2 linked regions of the Oreochromis niloticus genome follow. The protein of the gene in region 1 interacts with the protein of each later gene in a biochemical or structural test. Links are inferred from orthologs where the notes say so. Each region holds a gene or a part of one and is shown on either strand. Other genes may lie near its edges.

Region 1 (6,961 bases):
ATCATTTTTAATGGGAATCTGGTTGTAGAGAATTACCAGGTTTGTTCATAGGGGTTATTTGACAGTTAGGCAAAAAGCCACCTTGTTTCAGCCCATCCATAATCAGCAGCAGGGGACAATTATGACGCTAACGCTGGCACTATGTTTAACTCTGCTGCCATCTAGTGGATAATATCTGAAAATGCATACAGCACACAGGTCAGAAGTTTAAACATTCATCATGGGCATGAATGTCATGGTAATTTTTATTTCTTTAAAAAGTTCTTTTTCCAGAGTGAAATAAATGTAGAGGATCTTTGATGACCTTAAAAAAATCTAGGTCAAAGGTTTTAATCAGTCATACTAAAGGTTCTGCAATGTAGTTCAACTTGACAAGACCAAGGCCTATTATCTTCTCATTAGTGATCATGATTGACCACAACTGGTCAACACAACTCTTTGCAGCATAAAAAGTGTTTGTTTGACAGCATTCGTTGGAGTGACCAATACTCCAATGAGCAATTGGGAATTCCAAGGAACTCACTGAAGATCTAAGAATAAGAATTGTGGATTTACATAAGTTCAGAAGGTCTCTTGGAGCCGTTTTTAAACAACTGCAGATCATCAGTTCAAGCAGTTGTACACAGGTACAAGTTTTTCACATGTGTCACCACTTTGCTGAGGTCTGGAAAAAAGTGTCACCCTCAGATAAGAGGACATTGGTTGAGATGTTTAGAAACAATACAGGAACCACCAAAGGTCAAACCTGCCATGAACTGGAAACTGCTGGAACACCAGTATCACTGACCACAGTGAAGTGAGTCTTAAATCAGAGGTTGTTGACAAAGTAAGAAGCCCCTGTTCCAAACAAACGCCTTCAAGCTTGGCTGAAATTTGCAGTTCCCCACATGGACAAGCCAAACTCCTTCTTGAGAAAAGCTTAATGGTCAGATGAGACAAATATTGAGCTGTTTGGCCTCAATGACAAGAGGTATGTTTGGAGGAGTGAAGGTGAGGCTTTCAAGTCTGAGAACATTGTATCAGCTGTCAAGTGTGGTGGTGGCAGCATCGTGCTCCGGAGCTGTTTTGCTTTGTACAACATACTGGTACATTGTACAAAACTTGGTTAAAACTTGAACACAACTGGTTCAGACAGGACAATGATCCCAATGCACATCAAAACTGGTTTTGGAATAGATAAAGCAGGCTAACAGCAAACTTCTGGAATGACCTTTCCAAAGCCCCAACCTCAACCCTATGGAAAATTTGTAGACTGTGCTTAAAAGGCTCTGTGCCATCAAATCCACTCATTTAATGGAACCCCACCGATTCTGCAAAGAAGAGAATTCAAGTTTGCAGCAGAATTATCCCAGAGGCTTCTTGTTGGCTACCAAAAGTGTCTAGTCGAAGTGCAGCTTGTTTAGGGACATTTAACTATATATTAGTGGGGTTTTATGTATATGTCTGACCCTCTATGTATCCTTTGACCCTGTGTGGATTAAAGAAAATTACAAATAATTTAAAGTTTTACACCCAATTCTTTTCTTAGTCATTAAAGATGCTGTACAACCCTTTCAAATACTGTTCAAAGAAATCTTGAAAAAAACAAAATTACCACAACAATCTTGACCGTGATGAGTGTATTAATACCTCTGACTGCAACTGTACATGTTTTAGAGACTACATCATCTGAAGAGTGTTTCTTTGATGCACAAGAAATGTTGTGTGAGGAACTATTAATAAGAATTTTATTAATGATTACTATCTTTTCTGTTGTATATAATGTGCTTTATAGAGGCATGCACAGTTACCATCAGTTGTCCCATCTTTCCTTCACCAGAGTTCATATAATTATTCACACATAAGTCATCGGTCATGTCAGTGCATTACTCAGAATTCTTTCATACAGATGTCACGCAGTAATTATCCATGGATGTGACTTGCAGCTCGTCAGTTCAGATATCGTCAGTGTGTGCAGAGTTTACACCCGGGAGAAAAAATGTGAAAAAGCCAGTATGGCTTGCGAAGCTTTTTGTCTCCCATCTCCTGTTGTCCCATCGGCCTCTGTGTTTCTTTTACTGCATAGCTGGGAATAAGACATCATGTGTCCTACTCCACCCAGCAGAGTGAACATGAAATTCCAGTCTGACAACATTGAGCAACACTGAGATGTGAGCAGATCCTAAAAATATACATAAGAAAGGGAAACTGAAGGGTCAGTCTGCTGTCATAGAGAATATCTTGGTGGTGGTCGACTGATGAGAAATTGAACATCCAACAGATCAAGAAACGGCATCGGCGGCTTAAACCGGGACTTATAGTGCTCAGCACAACTCAGCGTAAACAAAACATACAACTGAGAACCTTCACAGACAAAACATACAACATTAGAATGCTTTGCATGTCTGACTGGTTCAGATTTTTATTGTGTCTTGATTGTCTGAACTGATCTGTTGCTGAAGATTTTGTCTGAAACTGTGAAATGATAAAAGATTGAAGACATCATGGTGACTGAGACAAACAAAAATCAGGTTTTTCCTCATACCTGTCTGCCAACCACAGGGAGTTAAGTCAGGAGAGGCATGTGACACAACACCCTATAACTCAGGAGTGGGCAACATTAGAAACTGGGACTGGTGTGGAAGGTGACAACCTTGCTATCACTGATTAATCTATAAGGGAGTAAGTATTAGGGACAGACCACTTAATTACTTAATTATAAAGAGAAATAAGAACACTGGAGTGAGTGAGAGTGACGAGAACAGGAGGAAACACATTAGTTTGTTGATCTGCTGTAGTTTAATACACCTGAGACTCAAAGTGAAGAGCAGTGATTTCACGCATACAGAACATTCTGTAGTCATGAAGTGGAAATGAATTGTAACCTGCGTTTAATCAGATCTTAAAAGACTAAACTATTGTTATTTTAAATGAACTGTGTGTGTTACGTTAGTACTGGGTTGGACCCCTTTTGCTTTCAGAGCTGTCTTAATTCTTCATGGCACAGATTCAACATGGTGCTGGAAACATTCCTCAGAGATTTTGATCCATGTTGACATGACAGCATCACACAGCTGCAGCGGATTTCTTTCATCCTAAAGGTGCTCTGTTGGACTCAAACTTCTAATTCCTCATTTTAATGTTACAGGAACAATCTAGACTCATCTGACCAGGCAACATTTTTCCAATTTTAGTGAGCACGTGCGAATTGTAGTTTCCTGTTCTTAGCTGATGGGAGACGCACCCAGTGCGGTCTTCTGCTGCTGTAGCTCATCTGCTTCGAGGTTTGACATGTTGTGCATTCAGAGATGCTCTTCTGCCGACTGCGGTTATTTGAGATACTTTTCCTTCCCAAGAGCTCAAAGCAGTTTGGCCTTTCATATCAACAAGACATTTTCACGCAGAAAACTTCTGTTCATTAGATATTTTCTCAGTGTAAGCCCTAGAGATGGCAGTGTGGAAAAATCACAGTAGATCAGTGGTTTCTGAAATACTCAAATACTCAGATAAACCTGTGTGGCACCAACAATCACGCCACATTTAAGGTCACTTAAATCTTTTTCCTTCCCCATTCTGATGCTCAGTGTGTGTCTACATGCCTGAATGCACCGAGTTGTTGTCATGTGATTGTCTGATTAAATATTTGACTTACACTGGTGTACCTTAGAAAGTGGGTGGTTCACACCTACCCTGCTTATACAAGCCCAACAGTTTTGTTTTATTTAATTTGATTTGTGGAATAATTTATTCCGCAAATATGAATGTGCATCTACAAAAACACATCTTAATCTGACTGTAATTTCCTGTTTTATGTCCTCCCAGCTGGATTGCTTAAAAAAATCAGACGCATTCTCGGGATTAAAAGATAATTTAGAAATAATCCTCATGGGCTTGGATGTCATTGAAATGGCGTCACCGTGCCGAGGCTGAGAGCGAGAGGCAGGCTCTCAAAAACAGCAAGAGCCAAAAACGCATACTTGGCAATCTTAAGGGAAGAGTCGACGTGAAACCTGCGCCGTAATCATTACAGCTGGAATAAAGAAAAGAAAAGAAAACGACCTGCATGTGGGAGGATGACTTTAGCGGCGGAGGACGCGCAGATGATTTCCTCCACCTTAGGGGGAGGATCTGTCCACGTAACGCGAGGCAAACTCACCGCATTTGCTCGCATTAGCGTTTCCTCCTTCAGCCGTGATGCATCACAGTAATGAAGCGGCAGCCTGGAGATGACCGTGGCACCCCCGCTCACAGCTCGCAGTCTACATAGAAGAGGAGACCGCTGCTGCACTTCGCTTTCATTTGGACGTTTTTGGTGATTTTTTTTGCGTAAAGAGGGGGAGTGACTGTTTCTTAATAAAGCCATCATCGTAAAAATTAAAGAAGTGAAAACTAGAGGATGAGCAGCTTAAGTCATGTACCCACACGGGTGAAATCCAAGCGGACTGAGGTCAGGCTCGGCGCGGAGAGGGATCATTTTGACAAGCAGCAGGTAAATATGCAGGAAGACACCGGGAAACGACGGGTTAATGCCCGCTGTGGGATGGACGGTAAACCTGGGTTTTATTCAGGCCTGCTGTGGCTTTAGAGGATGAGTGAATATCTACCGGATAGGCCACAATCCCTGTCCCCAAATTAAATGTTTAATGAGTGAATTAACTGCCCAGAAGCCGTCGCAGCTTTACCAATGGCCACTGAAAGGCCCCATGAGGGATGCCCCCTCTAGGTGTGTGTGTGTCGGACTATATGGCCAACACTGGAACATTGAGAGCTGAAAATAAGGACAAACTCTTTGGCATTGCGCTGTAGGTTTGACTATTTAAACACAATGATGAAAAACTGAAAGTGCCATTGCGCACTGAAGTCGGTCCATTGGTATCCCGGTATCATGCTCATCTAGTCCTTCCGGTTTGGCCACTTTTCCCCCAGTACAGGCATCTCCCTCCCCGTTTTTTTTTCTTTTTTCTAAACCACCTCCACTTTTCGTTTGGTTGTTGGTTGTTTTTTTTTTTTTGAAAACATGAAAAATAGACCCTTTTGACAAACTATCCTTCAACAACACCTCAGTTTCTTTTGAATGTGTGCAGTGAAGGAATGAAGGCTGGCCTCATTGCTCACACAACAGGTGCTTTGTGGTTTCTGCGCCTTACTCCACTGCACTGTTCCATACATGGCGAAGAGCTAACCCGGGCACTGGTGTATTCAGCGTGTTACTGGCTAAAGCCCTGGAGACACTGGGGCTACATTTTCAGGTGGAGAACACAGATACACAAGAGCCGAAGCGAGTTGAGTAACTAAACAAACAGCTGTCCGGCGGGTCAGGCTTACAGCCCTATTTTATCTGAACTGAGTGGAGCGTTTCCTCCGCTGGGCGTGTGTTTTACTCAGTGTTTTATTTGCTTTTGACGCACGTGTAGCGAGGTGGAGCTCAGGTTCTCAGACTACTGTGGCTCTGTCCTCTGGGCTGCTTAATTATAGTAAAATAAATAAATATAGCCTTACTGCCGTGCGTGTTTAGCGTCATTGATCAGAACAGCAAATGGCAAAAAGCAGGTGTGGCTTTGCTTTCAAAACTAGGCATTGTTGTCAGACTTGTAGTTTATGTTCCTTTGTGTCAAACGATGCATTGCACGTAAAATATGGGTTTCAGGGAGCTGCTCAAATTCTCAGCATAATCAGGTCTAGTCAAGGGATTTGGCACAGTGGGGATCATAAACTCTTAACGCAAAGACTTCAATGCGGGGTCCTCAGAAAGAAAAGCTGCTGGATGGTTTCAGTGTGTGCAGGTAGGAGGAGTCATTTCCAGGTTACTTAATATGACTAGAGGAGTGCCACAGGGTTCGCGTCGAGGGCCACTGTTATTTATTTTATGTATAAACAGTCTTTAGTAGGATCATACAGTTCAGGGCTCTGAAACTGAGTTAGTATCTCAATACAAGCACTTAAGAATTATAATTGACACTGTCTCTCTTTTACATCTCACATTCAGCAACTAGTGAGAAACTTTATTTCACCATTAAGTCCATTCTGTTCTTTTTATTGCCTTAACCTTTATGTCTTTGCTGGATTATAGTGATGGTGATATTTACATGCACATCTTCACAATGCTTACATATGCTGGTGCACGGAGATTTATTACAACCCTTAAAGCTTGTCTCATATCAGAAATGAGGTATAAGCCAATGACTTTTATTGATGACTGACTTTATTGCCGCTGATGTTTATAAATTCTTTATTTTATTGTTTTTGGGGTTTTTTTCACCAGCTGTGTTTTAGTGTAGTTAGTTTGTGTACTTCTTCCTCAGTGTGTACGCTGTTGATTGTACTGCTGTTTGTCTTGGCTTGGCCACTCTTGTGAGAGATTTTTTTTTTTTTTTATAATCTCCAGAGTTTTATTTTCCTGGTAAAATAAAGGTTAAACAAATAAATAAAATTAAAGCAGCGGTTGAGCAAATTTCCGGCTGCATTGTCAAACGTGCCCAGGCAAAATGCAAATGAACTCCTGGCAGAATGAGGAATCTGGACTCTTGTCTCAAATAGTGTGCTAATTGCATACAATTTATACAGCCTGTGTTGCTTTAAATGTTGCATAGTGTTGCTTAAATGTGTTCTTTTAATTTAATCCTGTTATGTTAAAGAGACTGCTGCATGTAGCAGGGAGAGCTGAGAGACTGAAGCTACTCTGGTGCTGCTTTTTATTTTTTTTAAACTTCCACTCTCTCTCTGTCCTCCTGTCTCGGCTTTTCATGTCGACCTCGGTACCAAGGTGAACAGTCTTGCACAGCGCCCTGTGTGTTTGTGTGCGCAATGTACTGTTTGCTTTCCCTCACTCCTGTTGCCTGAGTAAGCGCCCATGAGAGAGAGAGGGAGAGGGTAAAGGGGGGATGGGAGTAGGAAAGGGCAAATTCAGCTACTGAGTGGGAGTAGAGAGAATGAAAAGGTTTTTGGTTAGCTGTTTACACTTTAATAACATGCAGTGACCTGT
Region 2 (7,960 bases), on another chromosome or scaffold:
GACTTTATGGGCTCAGAAGTTTTTTGGTCCATAAAACAAACAAACAAACAAACAAACAAACATGGTTATTCTAAGGGTCAGATGAAAGCAGCTCATTGGCTAACAATTTCTCAATATCAAATCATGGTAGAGCTTCGTAACTGGACTTCACGGTAGCTACATCCATCTCTCATACAGTCTATACTTTATACCCAACATACACTTCATTGTTGACATATTTAATATTTTTTTTTATATAAAAACATCTAGGGCAATGGCACACATCAGTCAAAAAGAACACAAATAATGCCAAATGAAGCCTTTGACAAAAAAGAAAAAAAACAGAATTCCAGTGTTGGGTCATGCATCGGGGGCAAAAGAGGTCATTCAGGGGGCAGATCATACAATATTAGAAAGCAGAAGAATTCTAAACGTACACAAAGCCTATAACATCAGAGTTGGGCTGTTTGTAGAAAGCCTTGTCAGCAATCCTAGCGTGCAGGGCAAGGCCAAGAAAGCAGGAAAAAAGAAGGAGAGGAGAACAATTTCAGTGTCAGTCAACAAGCATAAAAGTGTTAGAGTCTGGGTTATTGTAAGCAACTGAGAAACATTTCTAATGAGGTGGAAACAGTGACTAAACATCTTGCACTAGTGTCATAAACAATCTAGGACAGTCTTTGCTGTAGCATGGGGAGGGGGTGACTCTAGCATTTTCTTTCTGCTGTCTGCATTCTTTTCAGCTAGCTAGTTTCCTGTTTTGCTTTCCGGACACTTGAACTGGACACACAGCTGTAGACTAACATCTCATCAGAGTATTGTATCTCAGTGCTTTAGAAAAAATAGAAGAAGAAAAAAAGAGCTACAGCTACAGATGCAGAGCGATACCGTGCCAGACTTGGACAGAGTCTGTTGGGAAGTGTGAGAGAATAACTGGTTAGCTTGGTCAAGAAAAGAGAGACTGCACAGTTTATGACACTGAGGGGAACCAGGCTAAATCAAGTATTAAATATTATAGTGGTTTAATCTGTTGTGATCACCTTGGTGCAGTAAATTCAACACATATACCACCAACCGTGTCAATTTATCAGTCAGCTGTAAAACATACACAGGTCTAGGATGTAATCTTGTAGAGAAAGGCACAGTTTCCTACACTTCAGAAGAATCTATAAAGACCTCCACTGAACGTTTAGTTTAGAGCGAGGCATGTTTGCAAACTGAACCACAATGTTTGTTTTACCAAGAACAACTACCTCTAACTACCAATACAAAATTCAAAACAAAGGTAGTAGAGTGATTACAGCATCACCATCATGGATTACTTCTCTGCACATTAGTGGTGGGGTGGGGAGGTCAGATCCTAACCTGTTGTTGGTCTTGTTCTTCTCCATCTGCTCATTTTGGTGTACGTGCCAGTCCTCAAGCTCCTTCTTGGCTTTCACTCTCCATTCTTCCTCCGCTGCCTTGGATGCCGAGTCTTATTAGGACGCAAGAAAGCAGAAACGTCACACAGTTGTAATGCATTTAATCTCTTCTGTTTCTATGTGTGACAAGGATCTTTTCTGATTAGTTTAAACTTAATCACAAGTGTGCTGAAAGGCAGTTTAGCCTCTAACAGAAAAGCAAAAAGCAGTACAGTGAAGCGTTAGTGAATCCGTGTGAAATGAACCTGTGACCTTGTAAGGAAAATAAAAAGAATCATAAGAGCTACACATTACTAAGTGCATTACATATTATCACTGACAGCATCAGGGAAACATTGTTACCAACCTAATGCTTCAAGGCGTGCCTTCTGCTCCTCCCTCCATTTGCGTAAACTTTCAGGTTCTTGCCTTTGGATATCCACCTGGGCGATGGCTGCGTAGCTGTCTGTTGGGCCATTGGACTCCTGTTGGAGTACGCAAAACATTTACACCATTAGAAACAGCCATTCGGTTCATTCATGCGTGAACGCCACAGCAAACCCACTCCTTCATCACATGATTACGGTGTTCAGAATAAAACTCAACCACACATAGGTTATGTAAAGAGACAGACATCATAAAGTATTACAGACAAGACTGAAGCTCACCTGAAACAGGTCTCCATTCAACGTGGCAGGTTCTTCAAAGCCGTCTAGCATTTTTTTAAACAAAGAAAAACCCACAGATATAAGTTAAGATGAACTTCTTGGAGTTTATCCACTTACACTTCCTTGCTATCTGGAGTGACTTATGCTCGCTGCTACTACTAAAGTGGTGTCACTTTTGGTCTCGAAACGGATAAGACTTCAGAAATGCAGCAACACCTGTTTGGTCACCTGCTTGATATTGTCTGGGCTGCTTTGTCGGTTAAAAGGCCAGGAGCACTTGCTCTTTAGCTTAGTTTTAAGGTGCTAGTGTCACATAGCTAATGTTATGTGGGATAGCGTCCAATTAACAAAACCTACGTTGTCGTTGCCCGCAGCTAGCTAAGCTACAAGGCTAACGTACTGTTAGTTTGAATCTAAATAGGAAGCAGTGAGAGTGTTAACCACTTATATCACACAGTGGTGTTGTTAACATATGGCGGTGGGGCCTTTGTTGGTTAACTACTAAGCAAGTTACCGATGCAAGTCCCGGTATTAATATTAGCTAGCTCTAGTTAGCTTTGTTTGCTCGTTAGCTAAACATTAGCTGACGTTAGCTCAGGGACAAACTTGCCATAGTTGTCGGTCTGCGGCTGCTGAACACCGGCTCCTTCTAGGGTCCCAAATGCGTCGCCATCGTTTTCTATCCCCGCTATCTCATTCTCCTGTTGAGCCAGGAAAGCGGCGGCCGGGTCCTCTTCAGTCGGGTGCGCTCCGTTGTCAGCCATCTTTCACAAAAAGTGTACAAGTTTGATTGAGCTTGCTTAGCTAGCTAAACGTTAAAGCCACAAAAATCAGGGCACCGAGCTCTGCAACGTTAATAGTAACAACTTAAAAATTCGATTTGAGTGTTATCTATTCTAAATATTGCTTGGAAAAATAGAGTCAGCTAGTAAAGCATACGGAATAAACAATCTACGCGTCGATTAAAGGCCTTAACTGATGATTCATTATTTCTTCACTTGTTCAACCAGTATGTGTATGATGATAGAGCAGGGGCAGCACCCCGAGGGGACCTTTACATTTTGTTGGAGTTTGTCGCCATCTGCTGGCCATTTGCAGCACAGCACTGTCATCTCCAAGGGTTGTAGTACTAATGCGGTAACAGTAATAAAAAATATCGACAAAACTTATATAGCACTATTTATAGACAGAAATGGAAAAGCATAAAGGTTATGCATTCAGTCCCCCCCCCCCCCCCCCCCCCCCCCCCGCAGGAAAATAACTATCCTCAGCAAAATCTACATGAGTGGGTCATTAAAAGGGAGACGAACCAGACATCCTCACCACTTAACTGGACTCCCTTCAGATCCTTCCTGTCACTTGCTCCTGGATCAAAGATTTCCTCACTAACTGCCCTCAATCAGTCCGACTTTGCCGACTATGTCATCGTCAAGTATGCCGATGACATACTGGGTTCATCTCTGACGGAGGCATATAGGGCAGAGGTAGAGAAACTTGTCCCACTGGTGCTCAGAAAATAACCTGAAGCTGAAGGTCCTTAAAACAAAAGAGCTCATCATGGACTTCAGGAGACACAGACAGGTCCACTCTCCTCTCATCATACATGGAGAACGGGTGGAATCTGTCTCCACCTTCAGGTTTCTGGAAACCCACATCTCCACCGATCTCACCTGGACCCACAACACCAATGTAGGCTGTGCAGAGGGTAATTAACACCACCCAAAAAATCATTGGCTCTCCTCTGCCAACCCTGGAGGCCACGTCAAGGCCTCAGGTCAATCAGGTCCTACATCTCCAGACTCACAGCTTCTTCCCCCAGGCCATTCGGACTGTTAACAAACACTATCCACTATCATGGATTACTTCTCTGCACATTAGTGGTGGGGTGGGGAGGTCAGATCCTAACCTGTTGTTGGTCTTGTTCTTCTCCATCTGCTCATTTTGGTGTACGTGCCAGTCCTCAAGCTCCTTCTTGGCTTTCACTCTCCATTCTTCCTCCACTCCCTTGGATGCCGAGTCTTATTAGGACGCAAGAAAGCAGAAACGTCACACAGTTGTAATGCATTTAATCTCTTCTGTTTCTATGTGTGACAAGGATCTTTTTGATTAGTTTAAACTTTATCACAAGTGTGCTGAAAGGCAGTTTAGCCTCTAACAGAAAAGCAAAAAGCAGTACAGTGAAGCGTTAGTGAATCCATGTGAAATGAACCTGTGACCTTGTAAGGAAAATAAAAAGAATCATAAGAGCTACACATTACTAAGTGCATTACACATCACTGACAGCATCGGGGAAACTCTCCTCTGCCAACCCTGGAGGCCACGTCAAGGCCTCAGGTCAATCAGGTCCTACATCTCCAGACTCACAAACAGCTTCTTCCCCCAGGCCATTCGGACTGTTAACAAACACTATTCCCCCACACCCCACCCCTGCCCACTCACCTCACCATGGTTTGAGTAATCCTCATCACTCAGGTGACTCACACACGGTCTATTCAGACCAAGTATTTTCTTTGCACTGCTTCCAAGCACTTTGCAACTTGTTCTCTAATGTGTGCCTTTCTCTTATTTTTGTATATACCCCTCTTGACTGTATATATTTCTCCTGTTTGATACTTATTGATCTTATTAACAGCCTATGACCTAACTGGGTATTATAGATTAATAAAACAATTTCTTTGCATCTATAATCATTACTAAAAGGCCCCAAATGACCCCATATGACCTTTAAGTAATGGTCGAAGTGGATAGTGGAGTTGTTTTGTACAATTTAAAAATCCATAATTGGAAAAAAACAGCACAGGACAAACAGTTTGGGGACAAAGTTAAACAGACGAGGCTGAGATGGTTTGGATACATGCAGAGGAGTGATAGCGGATATAGTGGATGAAGGATATTGAAGATAGACCTGCCAGGCAGGAGGAAAAGACCACAGAGGAGATTCATGGATGTAGTGAAGGAGAACATGCAGAGGGTTGGTGTGGCAGAGGAGGATGCTGGGGATAGGATGAGACGGAAGTTGTAGTTGTAGTTGAAGTTTTTTTAACACCTGTTTTTGTTTGTGAACAGAAAGAATTACGTTTTGTTTTGTCTTTTTGCCTAACTTAACGCCTGTGGATGATTAATGTGTAGTTATTGTGTTAGAAAGTCCGCTTAAAACAGGTCCAAGGTTCTTTAATGTCACTCATCATAAAGACACGTGACAGAACGAAATGAAGTACTCAGTACTCATGCTGTGACAGGTGAACACACAGGTGAACACACCTGTCACACATAAGATCCCAGACATATTTTTGTATTATATCTTCATGCAGCATAGTGTGCATATTATTTTTTCACGCAATCACACTGTAATGGAAAATTTCTATTATTCTCATTTAAGGTATATAGGCACTTATGCGTATGCTTAGTTGTGACACTGTAATGTAAAACTTCCACTGAACAGTCTAAAACCAGATGAACTTATTTCAGCCTCAGTAGTTGAAGAAAACAACTGCATTTGCAGGTGCTGATAGCGCCAAGGGCACGAAACAGCATACCCATTGTAGTGGAAGTTCCACTAGGTTTCACAGCGAGCGGCGTGATATGTGCTATGATCAGTTTGTGACTTCCTCCCCTTTCTTTGGAATGTACAAAGATACAAAAGAGCGAGAGCTCCACTTCTGTTTCAGGGACTGCGCTTGATGACATGCGCATGATAATAAAGAGTGTTGATTGCGGCTGACCGTGTCTGCGGACTTTCTTAATTAAATGTGCACGACAACACACACTGTCAGTCTAAGTTTGACTGTTTTTTTAAAACTAACTTCACTTTTTTTTTTTTTTTTTTTTACAGACTCTTGCGCTATTTCTTAGTGTAAGGCTCTTACCATGCAGCCACCTGTGTTAACTGTGTTGTTTATTGTAGACGGTACTAGTTTTACTTACTAGTAAAACTGTTTCTCTCTCCATTTAGAATAGGTCATGTCAAATTAAGTTACCCTATTACAATTAAATAATAATGGCTTAGCTAGTAAGTGCAGCAAACAGCGTGTGTAAAAAGTTATTCTTCAGGGGTGGTGTCCTGGATTAGTTCATGTTTATCTCTGAGGCCTACTCTTATTCATTTATTTATTTATTTTCCTTTAGTTAAAACCGACGGAGTGATTGAGAAAAGCGGTTTCATGGCGGCTGTGATGAATGGCTTTAGTAGTAGCAGCTGATGAGTGCAACTCGGCCTCTGAGTGAAATGAAGCCTCCGCCCATGTGACTTCTGACGTCTCAGCAGAGTCCTGCTAAAAAGAATTTGAGGGAATGAGTTTGCTGCTCACCAGGGGGATCCACGGCGGCTTCCTAACGTTTGCCTCAAGGAAGTCTGAAAAGTTGCCTGCTTGCCAACCGACTTATTATCTTATTTTTTAATTATTTTTAATCCGGTACACTCGTGATGTCCGGCGAGCACAGAGAGACACAAGAGGTAAGCTAATGCATCTTTGTGTGTTTGTGTGGTGTAACTTCTTCAAACCAACTTTTCCCCCCCACAGAGGAGGTTTGTATGGATTAAGCTGGTGCTCCAAACTGTGCAGGCTCATGCTTCTGGCCATCTTCCCCGAGCCCCTGCTGCTCTGTAGCTGTGCTAACTACTTTGTCAGAGCCGAGAGTTTTGTCCGGTTTTCGTGTCCCGTGTTGTCGCGAGTGGAAACCTGGCTGTCTGCGGCGGTGTTAACCGGGGTACAGCGTTCACAGCGTGGCCTTTAATTACCGCTGGGAAATTAGTGTGCTGGACGCATTTAAGTTATTTAAAAGAAACCCGTGTAAGCTCGTAATTGCGTAGCGTATTAACCAAAAAATTTCGTGTATTTGAGCTCTCATTAAAAGCAACACGAGTTCCTATAGAACTAATGCAGCAGCGGCAATAATATAGAAGATTATAAATAGCAACACCATAAGCATGGGGATGAGTGCCACACATTTATTGGCTTAAAACTGATGCTTTTATTCTCTTGCTTATCATACAGGGTGGTGTTTAATTAACTGGAGTGCATTCACATTAATGCTGTTACTTCCTCCGCTTTAATACAGTCTGAATAATCAGCTTTCAGTGTGGTGTTTATCACCAGTGAAATCTAGCCTCCATTACCTGCTGCTCCTGCTGCAGGTCTTTCTGTGTGTCGCCTTATGCGCCTCTGTATCATAATTCATTTCCCTGGCTCTGAGAAAAACTAATTTAAGCTTTGCCAGTAAAGAGTCAGGTTTGTACAGATCTACAGGGTGCATTGACAGTAAATGAATGCGAATGGAAGTCTTTTTTTATTTTGAGGATTTCCATTAACTTGAGCAGATTTGCAGGTTTTCTTAGTGGGATTATTTGGGGTGCTAGGCTGGATTAAAGGCTGTGCTGCTAGATTTTCCTTATCTGTGAGCACACCACTGTCTCACCAGTCTTTACAGTGTGTGTGAGCTGCTCTGTTGCTTTAAGAGCTTGATGTTAAAGTATAATTGCTGAGGGCTTTTTTTTTTTTTTTTTCTTGCTTGCACTATGTTTCATGCCCTCCAGAAAGAATGTAGAGGTCTGTGTGCTTTGCTTCATTTGTGGCCGTCCGCCGTTTCCCAAGTGCAATGAACTTAGAGGAGGAGAAAAAAAATCTCCTGGCCCGTGCCAGAATCCATGGGTCGTTGACGTTACCTCTCTCCATCCTCCTCTGCCCCCCCCCCCCCCCCCCCCCTCCTCTGCCCCCCCCCCCCCCCCCCCCCTCCTCCTCCTCCTCCTCCTCTCCCTGTGACTCATGTGGGTGTTGGGCTGAAATAGTTTGGTGTAGTTTTACATTCCTTATATAGCCTCTGAGGAGTGAGCAGAGGCTACGGCTTGCCTGTGTCACAGTCAGGATCGAGGGGGTAGGGTTTGCCAACAGAGAGGGAATCTGCTTGCTCCAGCTT

The links. The genes of interacting proteins can lie anywhere in the genome.
Region 2: the proteins of hip1rb (region 1) and cltb form a complex in vitro, tested with the Homo sapiens proteins (2 studies listed by BioGRID). The link is inferred for Oreochromis niloticus from reciprocal best matches to the Homo sapiens genes HIP1R and CLTB.

What each region holds. Positions count from the first base shown.
Region 1 is NC_031977.2:19,253,852-19,260,812, reverse strand, and holds the start of hip1rb (huntingtin interacting protein 1 related b), read left to right. Parts: upstream 1-3,940; 5' UTR 3,941-4,375; coding exon 4,376-4,468; intron 4,469-6,961. UniProt on the Homo sapiens protein: Component of clathrin-coated pits and vesicles, that may link the endocytic machinery to the actin cytoskeleton. Binds 3-phosphoinositides (via ENTH domain).
Region 2 is NC_031966.2:28,751,769-28,759,728, reverse strand, and holds the start of cltb (clathrin light chain B), read right to left. Parts: upstream 3,091-7,960; 5' UTR 2,812-3,090; coding exon 2,658-2,811; intron 2,092-2,657; coding exon 2,048-2,091; intron 1,865-2,047; coding exon 1,747-1,864; intron 1,454-1,746; coding exon 1,342-1,453; intron 886-1,341; coding exon of another isoform or gene 865-885; intron 471-864; coding exon 417-470; intron 1-416. Other genes in the region: pdlim7 (PDZ and LIM domain protein 7), read left to right, coding at 6,471-6,500. UniProt on the Homo sapiens protein: Clathrin is the major protein of the polyhedral coat of coated pits and vesicles.